Styela clava: one gene and its partner. The protein of the gene in region 1 interacts with the protein of each later gene in a pairwise test. Links are inferred from orthologs where the notes say so. Each region holds a gene or a part of one and is shown in the gene's direction. Other genes may lie near its edges. The genes, in order: uncharacterized protein LOC120326920 and splicing factor 45-like.

Region 1 (7,539 bases):
TATCTCAATTCAACAGCAGCCGTTAAAATTGTCAACCAACGATAAGGGGCTTCGCCATGGGTGTCATTTTACGTAGATACGATACTGCATTTACCTAACAAACTTCATGTACAGACTTCTCTCATCTGCCGAGACCAGAGCACACACTGACAGAGATGCCAAAGTACAATGAAAGACCGGCAAAGTTTGTCTTGAAGATTAAGTTACCTACAGTATCCAGTGTTGCAGAATGTGATTTGAATATATCAGAGGTAACAGTAGCTAGCTAATGTTGTTAGAATGGGATTTACATATTTATTCTGAGGAAGAGGAAAGCCGATAAGACAACTCAATCATATGGCGAACTACGGCCTCTTGTCCAGTTATCAGTCCATGTCGGGTATGGGATTACCCAGTCATATGTTTTGGATGCATGGACTTGATGGTGGAGGGAGCCATAACCGACCAGCGGTTACGTGAACCACCCTACGACGGTGAGGAGTTCGCCAATCCCCTCGCACATAACTATCAGGGGATTTGAACCCACACAGGTCAGAGGTGCTTCACGCTTAGCAAGCACGATTCGTCACACTGCCGAGCTGAAAACCTTAGCAATAATGGTAATTTTGATTGAAAATAGTATCATCAAGTTTCTTTTTGTGTACATTTTTCTTCCACTTTTTTTTTTTGACCCGTTTTAAATCTTGGTGTCAGTGATTTCTGATGACCAGATCTGGATCTTTGCGACCTCTATTCTCGGTAATTGCGATGATATACCTGTTTGTCTGAATTTACTGTGATTTTTTGCATGACAAAGTATAATTGGAATTTTTTTTCTTAATTTAGGAATCAGTGGAACTCATTGTAGAAGATAAATACTATTTTACTTTGACATTTCCGTCAGCAATATCAGAAGATGACGCTTCAGCTAAGTTTAATAAGAAAACGTCTTGTCTGACGTTGAATGTGCCATTGAAGTGAATATTGAGACTTTATGCTATTTGAGTTTCTTTAGAAGTTCGACTTTTTTATCACCATTACCGAAAGTCTAAAATTTCGACCTCAACTTGGTGAAATTCAGAATTTAGACGATGACTCAGACTTTTGACGATAACACTGTGGAAAATATTACCAAGTCAAAATTTGATAAGAAAACGTATTGTCTGGCTTTGAGTGTTCCTTTGAAGTGAATATTGAGATTCTATTTCTGTAGAGAAGTTTACACTTTTATATCACCATTCAAAGTCAAAAAATTTGGCCCCAACTCGGGGAAATTCAGAACAGCTCTATATACCTGTCCTCTACACTCAATATATGTCAGAGTCTGTGGTTGATGAACGTGGAAAATACTCTTCGAGTTTAATTTAAGCAAAATCTGATAAGAAAATGTCTTGTCTGGCTTTGAATGTTCCTCCAAAGTGAATATCGAGACTCTATTTCTGTTGAAAAGTTTGACTTTTTCATCACCATTCAAACCCAAAAAATTTTGGCCCAACTCAGGGAAATTTAGAATGACTTCGTCTCCACACACCAGTGCTTCCCTACCTTTTTCAGTTTGCGACCAACTTTTATTGCCATCTTCTCTGTGCAAACCACAATGAAATGTTAATCCCATGCCATTTCCTTTAATGCAAAACATGATCTTGCAAATTGGATATTATTAAATCAAGTCTGAAAAATGCCGAATTCATCAAGTCATTTTTTTTTTTTTGGTTGGGCCATCTCATCATCCAGCTGATTAAAGTTATTTATGAAGTGTATAAGTGTGTGTATATCAATTTAAATGCCTCATAAGTCTATGAATGATCTTCAAAAAATTTCCTCTCAAGCTTTATCTAAATGTTTATAATTTATGACGATCATGGGAGTAATGAAAAATCGGGATGGTGAATTCTTCGATCGATATATAGCAAGCAATTAATGCAATGAGAGAAAAATGTATTATTCTGTCCCTGGTCTGCATAACAATTTCACCTAGTTGACTTTCTCTTTTATGTTTTATCCTGTGATATATTTGCTCTATGCATAGTATATAATGTTGGGATATTTTGTAACAAATTTTATTTTTTACTATTTTGTTCCTTGAAAATAATTTTATTCAACTAGTATGAAAGTTATAAATTATTCTGCGAGTCTTATCAACAGATTAAGCTATATTTTTTTAAGTTCTATCAATACATATCTATCCCAGTCGTGGAGTTACAAAAGTCGTAGACATGACAGGTAAATTTTTCAGTTCAAAAGCTCTAGTCCTAGGTTTCTCCAACTGCTGCACTGGGCCTTCATCCCCACTAAGAGTCCATGGAGCAGTTCCATAGGGCCATGAGAAAAAGGGTTTAATGCGATTACTACATTAATTTATATCAATAACCAGAGTGTTGTTCAATTCTTCAACTCGAATACATTTATGTTTTTACATTCGCTTATTGGCCTTCTAATATTAGGATTGGTACAGTAGGATAGGATACACATATTTATCATGGAAAGAGGAAAGCCGCCCCATGTCGGGTGTGGGAATATTCATATATACGCTTTAGAATTTGTTAGCCAGTTTTCTATAGCATGAACTTGGCGATGGAGGAAGCCGCAACCAATCAGTGGCAAGTAGTTCCTCTCGCACATAACTATCCCTGCAACGATTTCGAATCCATTATTAAACATGGCAAGAAAAACAACTGGAGGAAACCTTGAAAGCAGCATTAGGTATTTAGCGGGCCACAAACACATGATATTCCACAGTGATGTAAAGCCAGCCCAAACCCAACGTTTATCTCGATTTATTTTGTACTACAGTACTAGCAATTGAAGTGGTTAAGTCCGTACAGCTGGCCCGATGGGTGGTCCTGTGGTCTGTAGTTGGTTTATGCCTAGGTTGCTTGTTATTGTTTTCAAATTGAATATGTAGAATTCAGTTTCTGAATTGCGTTCAAATAATCTTAATCATCACTTTGAAAAACTCAACTAATAAACAACTGTTCTATCTAATTATTTTGGATCCTAAGTTCTTAAATATCCAGTCTGTCAATGCTAAGTCAAGATGCAGAGAAGTCTGAAAGTCAAAGGGTGGCACACTTGTACACTGTTGGTACTTTGACCACATCATTAATGAAATTGATTCTAAAAGTACCGTCAGGATGTTAAACTACACAACTTGAGATGACTGAAGCAAGATCACAGACAAACCAGATCCATTAGCTCATATTTTATTTTCTAACACAATATTCGAATTTCTGATGACAAACAATTACATAGCACGAAATTTTCTCGAGTTCAATATCTTGGCTAAATTGTCCAAAATTCGTCAATTGCTTCGAAAACTCACACGAGCCAATCTTGAAGTCACATCAAAGTTTATTTTTCGGCTTTTACTTTTCCTGCTCCTTTTTTGTTGTGCTTCTTAGCAAACCTCATGTTTCTTAAAAACTTTGGACATACTCCTTTTAGGGAAGGGTATTTTTGTGAAGTTGGTCTTTTTATTCCATTCTTATGAGCTTTTCTTGACTGATTATGACTCGTATGATTCTTCGACTTCGCCATGCTTCCAAACTCTCGAGTTACCAACACGAAAAGGACCGATATATTACGTCACGAACCGGAGAACGGTTTTCTATCAAGTGTGACGGTTTCAGCTGAAATATAATGGATATATTCGATGTAGAAACAGTCAAAAACTCGAAAATTATTTCAAATTTTATTCTTGAAAAATAGCCATACCGTAGTTTATCAGTTACTAACCGCTTAGCAAGGTTCGTTTATATAAGTGATGTAAATTTGGACATGTTACGTGTGATGATGTAAAATGCAGAGAAGCAAAGATATTTAAATAACAAACAATATTATTACTTTGTTAATAAATGCCAATATATACAATACTGTAATTGAAAACACAGGTTGATTAACAATATGTTGCGTGTGTCAGTATACAGTATACAAGAACGGTCAAGGTTTTTGGCCCGTATGCTTTAGATTTTTCGAGCGCTCATACAGCAGATATCCACATGAAAAACGCCTCATGAAAGCTTTTATCGAATGCAATTATAAAATGAAATCTTTCCTAAAACAATTTCAGTTAGAGATTATCAATAACGAGTATATTGACATACTTCGTAATATTCATTAATGAAATGCGATCGAAAGTTGTGAACGTTTCGTCGAAGATTGATCACGTGACTTTGCTTTTTTCCTTCACACGTCGCAAAGCATCGTTCGTCGCCATTTGCGTTTAGCTTTTCGCGAGCTGTTGTCATTTAAATAAGCGTATTAACTCTATTCATTAGTAGATTTAGAAGTTTATCGAGATGTCAAGACGAGGTAGTGGATTTACAGGGGCAAATGCGATTCCGCTGGGACCGCGAAACCCCGCAATTGGGTCAAAAAGGACATTTTCTGCGACGCCTCCGTCGGAAAAACAACCATCGCTTTTGAAACCGCAAATGCCTCCACCGCAACAACATTCCCAGCCTTCACCACAGCAAAGTTCAGTCAGCAGTAATGCTGCTGCAGCACTTAGGGCTGCCCAGGCTGCTGCTGCCAGCTTGCAACAAAAGAAATTTAGCTCTGGTAAGCTTGTAAACATCTATTTTTTGTATCTGAAACAAACATGCCATTTGATAAAAATAAAAACGTTAAAACTAGTGGATATGATTTATCAACTTTTGAAATGCTTTTTGATATTTTAAAAGTGTATTAGTTAAGACATGAATATTCAAATTAGTCACATTCCAGTACGGTACACTTAACAGGTCGAGCGAGGCGACGTCTGGACATTGTTAAAACGAAGTTGTACAATAAACTAAAAAAATGCACGATCTAAAAACGTCATCATTGAATTCCTCTGTAAAAAATAATCCGATTTACAGAAGGAAAAAATTTTTTACTTTTACTATGGCATACAGTTTTTAGCAAAAACGACAGTTTTGGTCATGTGACGGCTGCGATTAACGTAAAATATTTCGAGACTAGTATGATGCGATATGACACATCTGCCGTCGTGCGACTCGCCCCTCGCTTGTGAGACACATGGAGTGTTTAGTGTTATTGAACCAAAATGAGGGGACATAATTGGAATTTGGAAACTGTGCCTTACTGCATCTAGATGATACTTAACGAAGTCTTGATTGTATTGTCATACTCAATAAACTCTGTAATATATATTTTCTTAGCACCAGCACCACCGCTAATGCAAGCCCCACCACCTCAGCCGTCTATGCCTACAACGCCGCAGCAGACGTCTGATGAACGTGGCCGACCAAGAAAGAAACGTAGCCGCTGGTCGACGCCGGAAGTGAAAACTGACATTCCTGGTATCCCATCCACGATGCCTGCTAATTTGAGTAAAGAACAGCAACAAGCATACATAGGTAATTTCCTTTTTTATTCATTTTTTTGAATTTTCCGCTTTTGTGCTTTTTTTTAATAGATTGAATCTTTTTGTATCTCTCTTGGCCCAATTAGGTTTGAAAAAGTTTGTTTTTACATTTTATACACGTTTTTTATCTTTCAAATTCACAATTAACTGTCTCTAACTTCTAGGGCTTGGGTAAGTATCTGATGCCAGGTTTTAGGTGGATGATAGGATTTCAAGAATTACGTCTCAAAGGAGTTTCACGCTCTCAATTCTTATTTTTTCGTATTAATATAGATTTTTACTCTTTTTTAATACACCAGAGGCACTATCGGTGCTCCACTTGGTGTCTCCCTAACAAACGATTCTTTTTTCTTTTTCAACGTGTTTCATAACCGTGAAAATTACAGTTCAGCTACAGATCGAAGATGTGACGAGAAAGTTGAAATCTGGCGACCTTGGTATTTCACCTAACCCTGAAGACAGGTTTGGTTAAATCTGAGTGCAACAAGCACTTTGGGTTTTTACATATTTTGTGGTGACATTAATTTTTTGCTATTTTTGTTTAATTTATTATTTTTTTACAACTTTCTACTTAGTAACCCTTTTATTGGTATTTATCTAAAACAAAGTCATGTGCATATACTCATAAATAAAAGAGATTCGTCACTTTGTAAAGTTGTAGGCGAAGCACTTCTTAGTTAATTCGAAGTACAGCATATATTAAAAATATATCCCACTATGAAAGCAACAATACGATTCTCTGATCATTTTTTGACAAACCAATCAGGCAAATGAATTTTTTTTTGTTTTTTAAGAAACCATAAAATGGCCATTTTATTTAATAATTTCTAACGTAACCTAATATCCTAGTTTGAGGGGTAGAAATATAAATTGAAAGATTATATAAAACTGTAAGTATATATAAAAGAAAGATTTAAGTAATCTTGAGTACTGTATACCGTCGCATGTTAGCCAGCTCCCCGAAACGGGGTATTTATGAAAATTCCCATATAAGCCAACCTGAGTTATGCGCATAGAAACGTACTCACTAGTTTGGAAACTTTTTTGGAATTTTTAATTCTGCTTATATGCGAGAATATACGGTTACAGTGATTGTAAAGTACCAGCCATCTCAGAGGTTGCTTTTCTAGGGCCTATTTTTTAAGCTAAAATATGAAACTCTAGTAGTCAGAGATGGTAAATATTATATATTTTTGATCTATTTTCTAACAATCCAACCATGTTTAATATAACCTAACATATTGTGCCCAAAAACCCTTTATGCAGCCACTTACATTGCAGCATTGTGAGAACGCTCGTCATGGCCAGTCAACCATGAATTCTGCAGAACTCTACTTCAAAGAGAGCTACGCAGCAGAAGACCTCTTCATTAAATAACCATTTTATTCTGATAACTTTATGAATTTTCTTAGTGGAAGTACCTCCCCAAATTTATAATCAATTTTTCTGCAGAGTATCAAAAATGATTTTAATCTGATACCAGTTTATTCACAGCAAATTACCTAAATTTTTCTCTTAAATTTGCTATTTTTTCTACAGCCTAACCTTTCTACAGGTCTAGCAGGCTTAATTCCAAATTTTTCAGGATTTTTTTCTTCTATTACGACAAAAATTAACTTTCTTACAGCTGCTAAGTGTGCTTGGGTTCAATGGGTCGTCAATTTTCATCTAAAAAATTGTGTTTTTTACAATTATGCATTTTTACCAGTAATTTTATCAATAGCCTCTATGTCATTTCTTGAGAAATTTTTTGAAGTTTCACTTGATTTTAACAGTGAATGTGTTGAAAAGGTACTCCCTTAGTATGTGAACCAAGATGGCGGACACCAGAACGTAGTATGTGGATCAGGTTAGGCCATAATTCCAGGTACACATACTACGGGAGTCACTTGGCTAGTTCCCGAACTTGTAATAGAACTAAAATAAGGAAAATTGGAATAAAATTATGGCCTAACCCTAACCTGGTACACATACTTTGTTCAGTTGTCCGCCATCTTGGTTCACATACTACGGGAGCGCCGTTAAAATGTGTTAAAAATCTGAGGTTCAAATCCCATCACCCAGGGTGTAAGAAATTGGCTAGGCCGGTGGTTCTTAACCTTTATCTTTCGCGGCCTATTTTCGTTGCACAAAAATTGTGTGTCCCACTAACTTTTTCATGCTAGATAAAATCTACAAGAAAAACAAAGAAT
Region 2 (7,798 bases), on another chromosome or scaffold:
AACTGACTTTATTTCACTATTAAACATTTGATATGCTCAGCCCTTACACTTACCTGCTGCACATGTCAGCATGTTGAAATTTTTTGTAAAGTTTGTAATGCTCCTTCCTTTGCATAATTCTGCATTTGTGGTGTTTCCAGAAAAAACGTAACAAAACAGCAAAATATGAGAACAAGTATCGCAATTGTACAGACATTCTCATTACTGCATTAATAAAGAAGAAGAGACAATAATTGAATTTCCCTGCAGACGCACTACAAGTAAATGAATTCGGTAAGCTATGGTAAAATTGACAAAGTTACGACAAAATAGACTCTTCTTATTTTCACTGATAACTCTACTCTATTACGGTACTAGGTAGGGTATGTATTGTATTAGGTAGGGTTTGTTTTTAAGTCTGACAGTCTACCGGTACCGGTATCGCACCCATAAAAAAACTTTCAATACTGTCCCCATAAAAAACTTTCAATTCCCAACTTTCGCTAAGGCGGTACCGTACCGTCCCCACAGAAAACTTTTCAATTCCAGCATCCGCTAAGACGGTACGGTTACGGTACAGCGCAGAGACTGTCGTGGTTATAACAGGGAATGCAAGCCCCGCTTTTAGCATACGAGTTAGTTCAGTGTAACCGATTTTGCTCTTATCAAAATTAACTAATACGGTAGGCTAGATTTGCTGGAAAACCAACCTTATTGCAGTACAGTAGTACCGGTAAGACCGCGTAAGGAAAAATCGTAGCAAACAGCAAGGACTTCTTTACGAACCACCGACGTTCGATGGCACGTGATCAGAAGAATCGAGTGCTTATGCGACCGCAGAACGTTCGGTGACGTCATAGCAAACAAAAACAAATCTCACAGAGCTAACAGAAATATTTGAAATAAATAAAAGTAATAGCCTTCTGGAGAAAAATTTCATCTTCAACCACTAAAAATTTCAAAGCAATTGGTCCAGTAATCAAATAGAAAAGCGGTTTTTTAATATTTTCACTAGGTGTGTTAGTCTGTGTCAAACAACAAGAACAACATAATATTGAAACGATCGTTATGTCCATTTCGTGTCCAATAAATTTATACCTCTATTTCGCGCGTAGGATGGGTTTTGAATGACTGAGGTCTATTCCCCTATTCAGAGCACAGAGATATATAAATATATATTTCCAGTTCAGTGATTCAGAGCCATTATGGCTCTGCCCTATTGCACACATGATTGCACAAACGCGAAACTTTAAAGATGGTCAAAGGAAACACAACCCTACCAACGTGCCAAGTTTCATCATTTTATCTATTATATTTCTAGTGATTTCCAAGCTTTCTCAAAAGGACAATGGGTAGTTGACGACATAGAAATTTGGTCCGTTTTTTTCCCTAGGTCGTTTTTTTGGTCGTATTTTCGTTGTTTATGGAATTTGAGTGGGATTTTGCAGAGCTACGAGGACTAGTGGACGAAAGCGCGTGTGGAATATCGCCACGGTTCGTTAAATTTTCCGCATTAATTATTATTAAATCAATGAAGTTAATGGCCACAAAGTGGCTAAGCCACCCTACTAATATAAGCTGATAAGTACCGGTATAAATCATGCGGAATTATATCTACTCAAATCCTAACCAACTAACTCAATATTTGTCACCATAAGGGATAGCCCTGTCTTCATGGTCCACTTGCCGTGGTTACGGCAGCAAAATTTTACCTGCCATTGACCACTGTGAAGCTAGTAGCAAACCTTCTTCTAATTTTGCGCAGCGGTGCGTATAATCTCGTTTTTTTGCTCATTGAAGGGTGAAATGACAGTTTTGTGCTTATTGAAGGGTGGTGGCGTAAAACATGGGCGAGTCCTAAATTCCACACAGAGAACAATGATTAAGTTTGTAGACAGGCTGTGGAAGAAATACATCACGAAGTACATCACGATAAGCAATAAATTCAAATATATTTGACGGCAACTTAGGATACAGAGTGGAAAGCATCCCGGCGGTTTGATCGCCTATGCAGTTTCATTTGTCATAGTACGTTGTCGAAATTAAATATACTCGGCTGATAAAATTGATCAGGACAAATATTTTGACAAAAAATGTTAGATTACGTATTCATATAAGCTTGAAAATATAACGAAACGAGTGTTCCATGTCACCTGCATAGGTTTCGGTAATAACTGCCAATTAAAAGCTAAGTTATGTTCAATTTATGTGACATTTTTTGGAAATACTTCTCATGCCTGCAAACATTTATACAGAGGTGCAAGATGGTACACGAACTAAGAGAAATAAGCAATATCAACCGAGCCATTGAGTTGAGGTCCAAATCGTCTGACCAACTCGATTTACATTATTAAACACTGTGATACCGATAAAAAATTATATGGTGCCCATTCCGTGATGCTTTATGCGCGCTGCTTATTTGGCTAAAGTGTTAATTCAACCAAGAGCCCCGAGCATTTTTGTATAACTTTAAAAATATTTCAAAACCAGCCTACTAAATTACAACATTTCGTAGCCGTAAAAGTGCTTTACTTCGTTTCAAACTGTGTATTGTATTACGTAACAAACGTTAAACTTCATTATAATATGTCTTAGTAATTTAAGAAGTTTCACATGCATTTTGTAGTATAAAGCAAATTCTTCAACACATGCAATAAACAGAACGTAAAAACTGTTTTGTTTCAATATGTCTCACTGGCGCTGAAATCAGAAGTCAGGTTATTATATGTCGTACATTATCGTTATATCGTAATTTGGATATTTTGAAGATCAGCATAACGTCTCTTCTATATTGGTGGCGCGAAATATTAATTTTTTATTCAAGAGATGACAAATTTCCAGAATTATGTGCAATCGTGTCATTAATACACGATAATTTTATAAAAATGGTACAAACAAAATTATGCAATTTACAAAAGTCAAAAAAGCTAATTTTGGCAACTTTCAAATCCCAGCAGCACACTCTACGCACAAGAGGCATTCGATTTGATTATTTTATGTTAAAGAAGTTTATCTGAAGTTTTTTACACAACTAGAACCTAAGCCTTTTTTATTTTAGAATCTGGGGTATTCTCATAGCGAAAATGGCCTTATTTGGAAAAATTACGTATAGCTGAAAAAGCTAATTTAGTCAATTTTCAAAGCCTAGCAGCACACCCTTCCGCACAAGAGGCATTCGATTTGATTCTTTTATGTTAAAGAAGTTTGCCACACAACTAGAACCTAAGCCATTTTTATTTTAGAATCTGGGGTATTCTCATAGCGAAAATTGCCTTATTTGGAAAAATTACGTATAGCTGAAAAAGCTAATTTATTCAATTTTCAAAGCCTAGCAGCACACCCTTCCGCACAAGAGGCATTCGATTTGATTATTTCCCATTAATGAAGATTACCTGAAGTTTGCCACACAACTAGAACCTAAGCCTTTTTTATTTTAGAATCTGGGGTATTCTCATAGCGAAAATGACCTTATTTGGAAAATTACGTATAGCGAAAAAAGCTAATTTAGTCAATTTTCAAAGCCTAGCAGCACACCCTTCCGCACAAGAGGCATTCGATTTGATTATTTCCCATTAATGAAGATTACCTGAAGTTTGCCACACAACTAGAACCTAAGCCTTTTTTATTTTAGAATCTGGGGTATTCTCATAGCGAAAATGACCTTATTTGGAAAATTACGTATAGCGAAAAAAGCTAATTTAGTCAATTTTCAAAGCCTAGCAGCACACCCTTCCGCACAAGAGGCATTCGATTTGATTATTTCCCATTAAAGAAGATTACCTGAAGTTTTCCACACAACTAGAACCTAAGCCTTTTTCATTTTAGAATCGAGCTTTTAGCTTTTATTCTTAATTTTGGTTATATACTTGTTATTTTTCCCAAATTATAAACATATTTCCCATAATAGTATGCTAATTTCGTTTATCTTCATTTTTTTGGGTGTAGATTCTGACACGCGCCTCCATTTCTGCCTTAAATATTACCCTTTCCGCTTCGCCGCACACAAAGGTCAAATTGCTACTAGCTTCACAGTGGTCTGCCATTGGCTTTCAATTTGCTGCCGCGGTAACGGCAGCTCGTCATTGGTTTGTGCTTGTGGCAGCTAAAAAGTCAGTAGCCATAGGTTTGGCTGTAGCGGCCATGGTATGGAAATACTGCCATGGTTTTGCGGCAGCTGCAGACGCCACAGAATACTTGCACTTGTCGAATTGTATGACCATAAATGTTTTTTTCAATGTTCAAGAGTGTTCCTCCCATTTTGACAACACGGTTTCGACTTGCAGGGTGATTCTGTAACACATAACTGCATAATGTCCAAAATAATTTCATTCTCTGGTATGTTTTCAGAATAGGCCTATATATAAACGCAAGAACAATGTCTCTCTATGATGGATTAGGTTTGGATAGTAATCAAGGTGAAAAAGCAACCGGGTGGTCTTCCAGTTTCACAATGCTAAAGTCTCAACTTGAAGCAAAAAAGGCAGCTTTAACAAAGGCAAAGCATGAGAAGTTTCGAAGTGGGAACCCTGTTGTTGCTCCTGTGATTAATTTGAATAAAGCAGTAAAAACAGAAGAACAGCTTGATTACAGCCATGATGACAAAGTTAGTTTTAAAGTTGTGGATTATTTCTTTTTTAAATAAAAAATTTCCAGGTACTTTTACCGATTGGTTCGTGATTCTAGCTGCTGAGCTGTGCAGTTTTAGAATAGATGTTCTATCTTCATAAGTTCGTATATTACTAAGCAACATATTTTAAACGTTTTTGCATTTCAATGATATAGCTAGTGGATACAAAGCCTAGTCCGTTTCTTGGTGGAGAGAGTCTTGATCAATTTGAAGATGAGTACGATCCTAGGTATCCGAATGAATATGAAAAAGTTACACGAAAAAGAAGAGAAAGACGTCAGCGGGAAAGAGAAGAGGAAAGGCAGAGAGAAATGGAGGACAGACGGAAAAGAAGAGATTCAAGACATTCGGATCGTGATAACAGACGAGATGATCGAGCACCCCATGGTAGGATTAATACAATTTTCGTGATATTGCGAATACTTTAAAACCCATATATTAGTTTTTCTTGAATCAGTGAATCAATAATTTTTGATGGATAGTAGCCTTAAGTGATCACAAATATCTTGTGTTCACTCTAAAGAAGAGTTTAAAAGTAATCAAAAGCCTACTAATCTTTACTGACATTATAGTGCTTCAATTAATATTCGAAGTTCTTGGAGTTGAATGACATACACATACACATCAATTTGAAATAGTTCTAAGAAAAAGGGGATTTTGAATGCGGAAAGTGATAGAAAATTCATATTTTACCCACTCTGGATCAGGTTCCAGACATGCTTGCAATTGTTACTTTGTAGATAAATATTATGTGCTTAGACATATTCTAACCATCATTTACACTCTTGAAATTAATTTATGTGAACTTCAGTTACTGTGGGCTTAAACAGTCAGCTAACTATGAGACTGACTCCTTTTATGGCACCAACATACATTGATGATGACTTCATGAAAGCGAAATATTATATATGTAACCATTGTTGTTGTACAGGTAGGTTTGGTGGGCCAGGAAGTGGATTTTCGCGACGACCTGCATCTGACGAGGATGAAGAAGATGATGATTACGAACGAGAAAAACGTATCAGAATGACCCAGGGAAGTAAAGCTGCAATCGCACCTCCAACTATTCTTATAGAAGAAGATAAAAAGGCTGAAATTGCTCCTCCACCGCCTCCTCTAGCATTAGCAGGTTTCAATATCTTCATTTTTCAACAAGCCGTATATTAAACGAAAATTCTAGTCCAATTCATTAAACTAACAGTAAATACTTATTGGCTTAGGAGGTGTTTGTGTATTCAAGGCCTCATTTTTAGCCATATAGAAACTGTGTCAGTGTCGATTGAAATTTAACAGGGTGTAATTTATGTAGAGAGAAATTTCAGATTTTATTTTTAGAAGACTATATGAAGTAAATTTTATCCTTCATGACTCACTAATAGTATTAGGGAATTATAATATTTTTACTTAATTGATATTCCTCCTCAAAAGAATTCCTATCCAATTATTCGATAATAGTGAACACTTGATGCATTACTTGTAGGTGGAGCTGGAACACAATTTGCACGAAATATGGCAGGTTCTGTAGCACACAAAATCATGACAAAATATGGATTTAAAGAAGGATTGGGTCTTGGAAAAGGAAACAGGGGCATCAGTCATGCATTACAGGTTTGTCACATTTTCCGTGTTCGATACAAAGATGTTTCAATAAAATTTAATGAAATAAACAAGATTAATTTATTAGTTGAGAATTGTAATTTGGGGCTATTTTTAGTGTAAAATCTTTTTGGGAATCACAAAAGAAAATATTTCCAAAAGTTTACCAATACAGTACAGCACACTATACAGATCAAGTGACATTGTCTCGTTACAGAGAAACCCATTTTACAGATGATCAGACACCCCTCTTTTGGGAGACGTTTGTACATTGCTGTCTTTCATATATCGTATAATGAAGTTGGCAGTTGCACAAAATACTACAAAAAAACGCAATCTAATAACGTCATCATTGAATTCCCCGGGGAAAAAATAATCCAATTTACAGAAGAAAAATTTTTTTTATCCTGGCATACGAAAGTTTTTACCGAAAAACGGCAATTTTGATCACATGACGGCTGCGATTAATTTAGATTATTATTGAGACAAGCATGGCATGATCTGATTTGGTGCCACACGCCCCTCGTTTGTGAGACGCATGGAGTGTTTGTTTTATTGAACCAAATGGAGGGAATTCTTGGAATTTGGATAGTGTGCCGTACTGCAATATAATAGTGCAGAAAATGCTCAAGGCTGCTCATCCCTGATTGCAGCCATTTAAGTACATCCTTTTTGCCAATCGTTTGACCTGGAGCAACACTTATGATTGCATAGAATCATCTGGAAAGAAGCATTAGCTTTCCTAAAAGTAAAGTCTCTCTTTTGGTATGTTGTCTTATAATAGGTTGAGAAGACAAGTAAACGAGGAGGTAAAATCATACCAAGTTCTCAAATTGAAAAACAACTTGAAGAAGAGAAGAAAAGGGAACAGGAAGAAAAAGAAAGTGTAGCTAATTTGTTAAAGAATCCTACAAAGGTATTTTTACTTGTTTCTGTTTTTTTTTCACATTTGGTTAATGGTATAAATAAGGCATATTTTCTATGTTTATCAATGCTCAATCTACAGGTCGTTTGTCTTCGTAACATGGTTGGGCCTGGAGAAGTTGATCAAGAATTAGAAGGTGAAACATCGGAAGAATGCAGCAAATATGGGGAAGTTAGAAAGTAAGTTTGCGCAATTCCATCGGTTTGATTAGATCTACTATTTATTTATTTGCTATGAACTGGATTTATTTTAAGATTAGATTTTGAAGCAAGATGGAATTCTATAATTCTCTGTCATTTGGCTTGTTTCATTTTATCCTTGTCAGTGAATTCAATTTTTATTTACAGATGTATGATATATGAAATGGTTGGACAACAAGAAGAAGAAGCAGTTAGAATATTTATAGAATTTGAAAGACTTGAATCTGCGATCAAAGCAGTTGTGGATTTAAATGGAAGATATTTTGGCGGAAGGACTGTGAGAGCTTGCTTTTACGATGTTAGTAAATTTCGTGATCTACACCTTGGGGATCCTCTCTGAGCTGACTGCCACTAACAGCTTTCCATATCATCTGATGGGAACAATGTGTTCGCTGCAAGCAAGAATATCGCCATTCTGAGGAAAATGCTAAGATTCAGGTCATGAAAAGCAAGGACTTCGAACTTGAAACA

Evidence for each region.
Region 2: the proteins of uncharacterized protein LOC120326920 (region 1) and splicing factor 45-like interact in binary tests that used the Homo sapiens proteins (3 or more experiments, as listed by UniProt). The link is inferred for Styela clava from reciprocal best matches to the Homo sapiens genes SF1 and RBM17.

What each region holds. Positions count from the first base shown.
Region 1 is NC_135253.1:22,301,305-22,308,843, forward strand, and holds the start of uncharacterized protein LOC120326920, read left to right. Parts: upstream 1-4,159; 5' UTR 4,160-4,277; coding exon 4,278-4,539; intron 4,540-5,141; coding exon 5,142-5,339; intron 5,340-5,733; coding exon 5,734-5,809; intron 5,810-7,539. Other genes in the region: PIH1 domain-containing protein 2-like, read left to right, coding at 115-251, 826-960. UniProt on the Homo sapiens protein: Necessary for the ATP-dependent first step of spliceosome assembly. Binds to the intron branch point sequence (BPS) 5'-UACUAAC-3' of the pre-mRNA. May act as transcription repressor.
Region 2 is NC_135252.1:14,907,641-14,915,438, reverse strand, and holds the start of splicing factor 45-like, read left to right. Parts: upstream 1-4,303; 5' UTR 4,304-4,354; coding exon 4,355-4,582; intron 4,583-4,761; coding exon 4,762-4,993; intron 4,994-5,537; coding exon 5,538-5,735; intron 5,736-6,086; coding exon 6,087-6,214; intron 6,215-6,986; coding exon 6,987-7,118; intron 7,119-7,208; coding exon 7,209-7,306; intron 7,307-7,474; coding exon 7,475-7,667; 3' UTR 7,668-7,798. UniProt on the Homo sapiens protein: Splice factor that binds to the single-stranded 3'AG at the exon/intron border and promotes its utilization in the second catalytic step. Involved in the regulation of alternative splicing and the utilization of cryptic splice sites.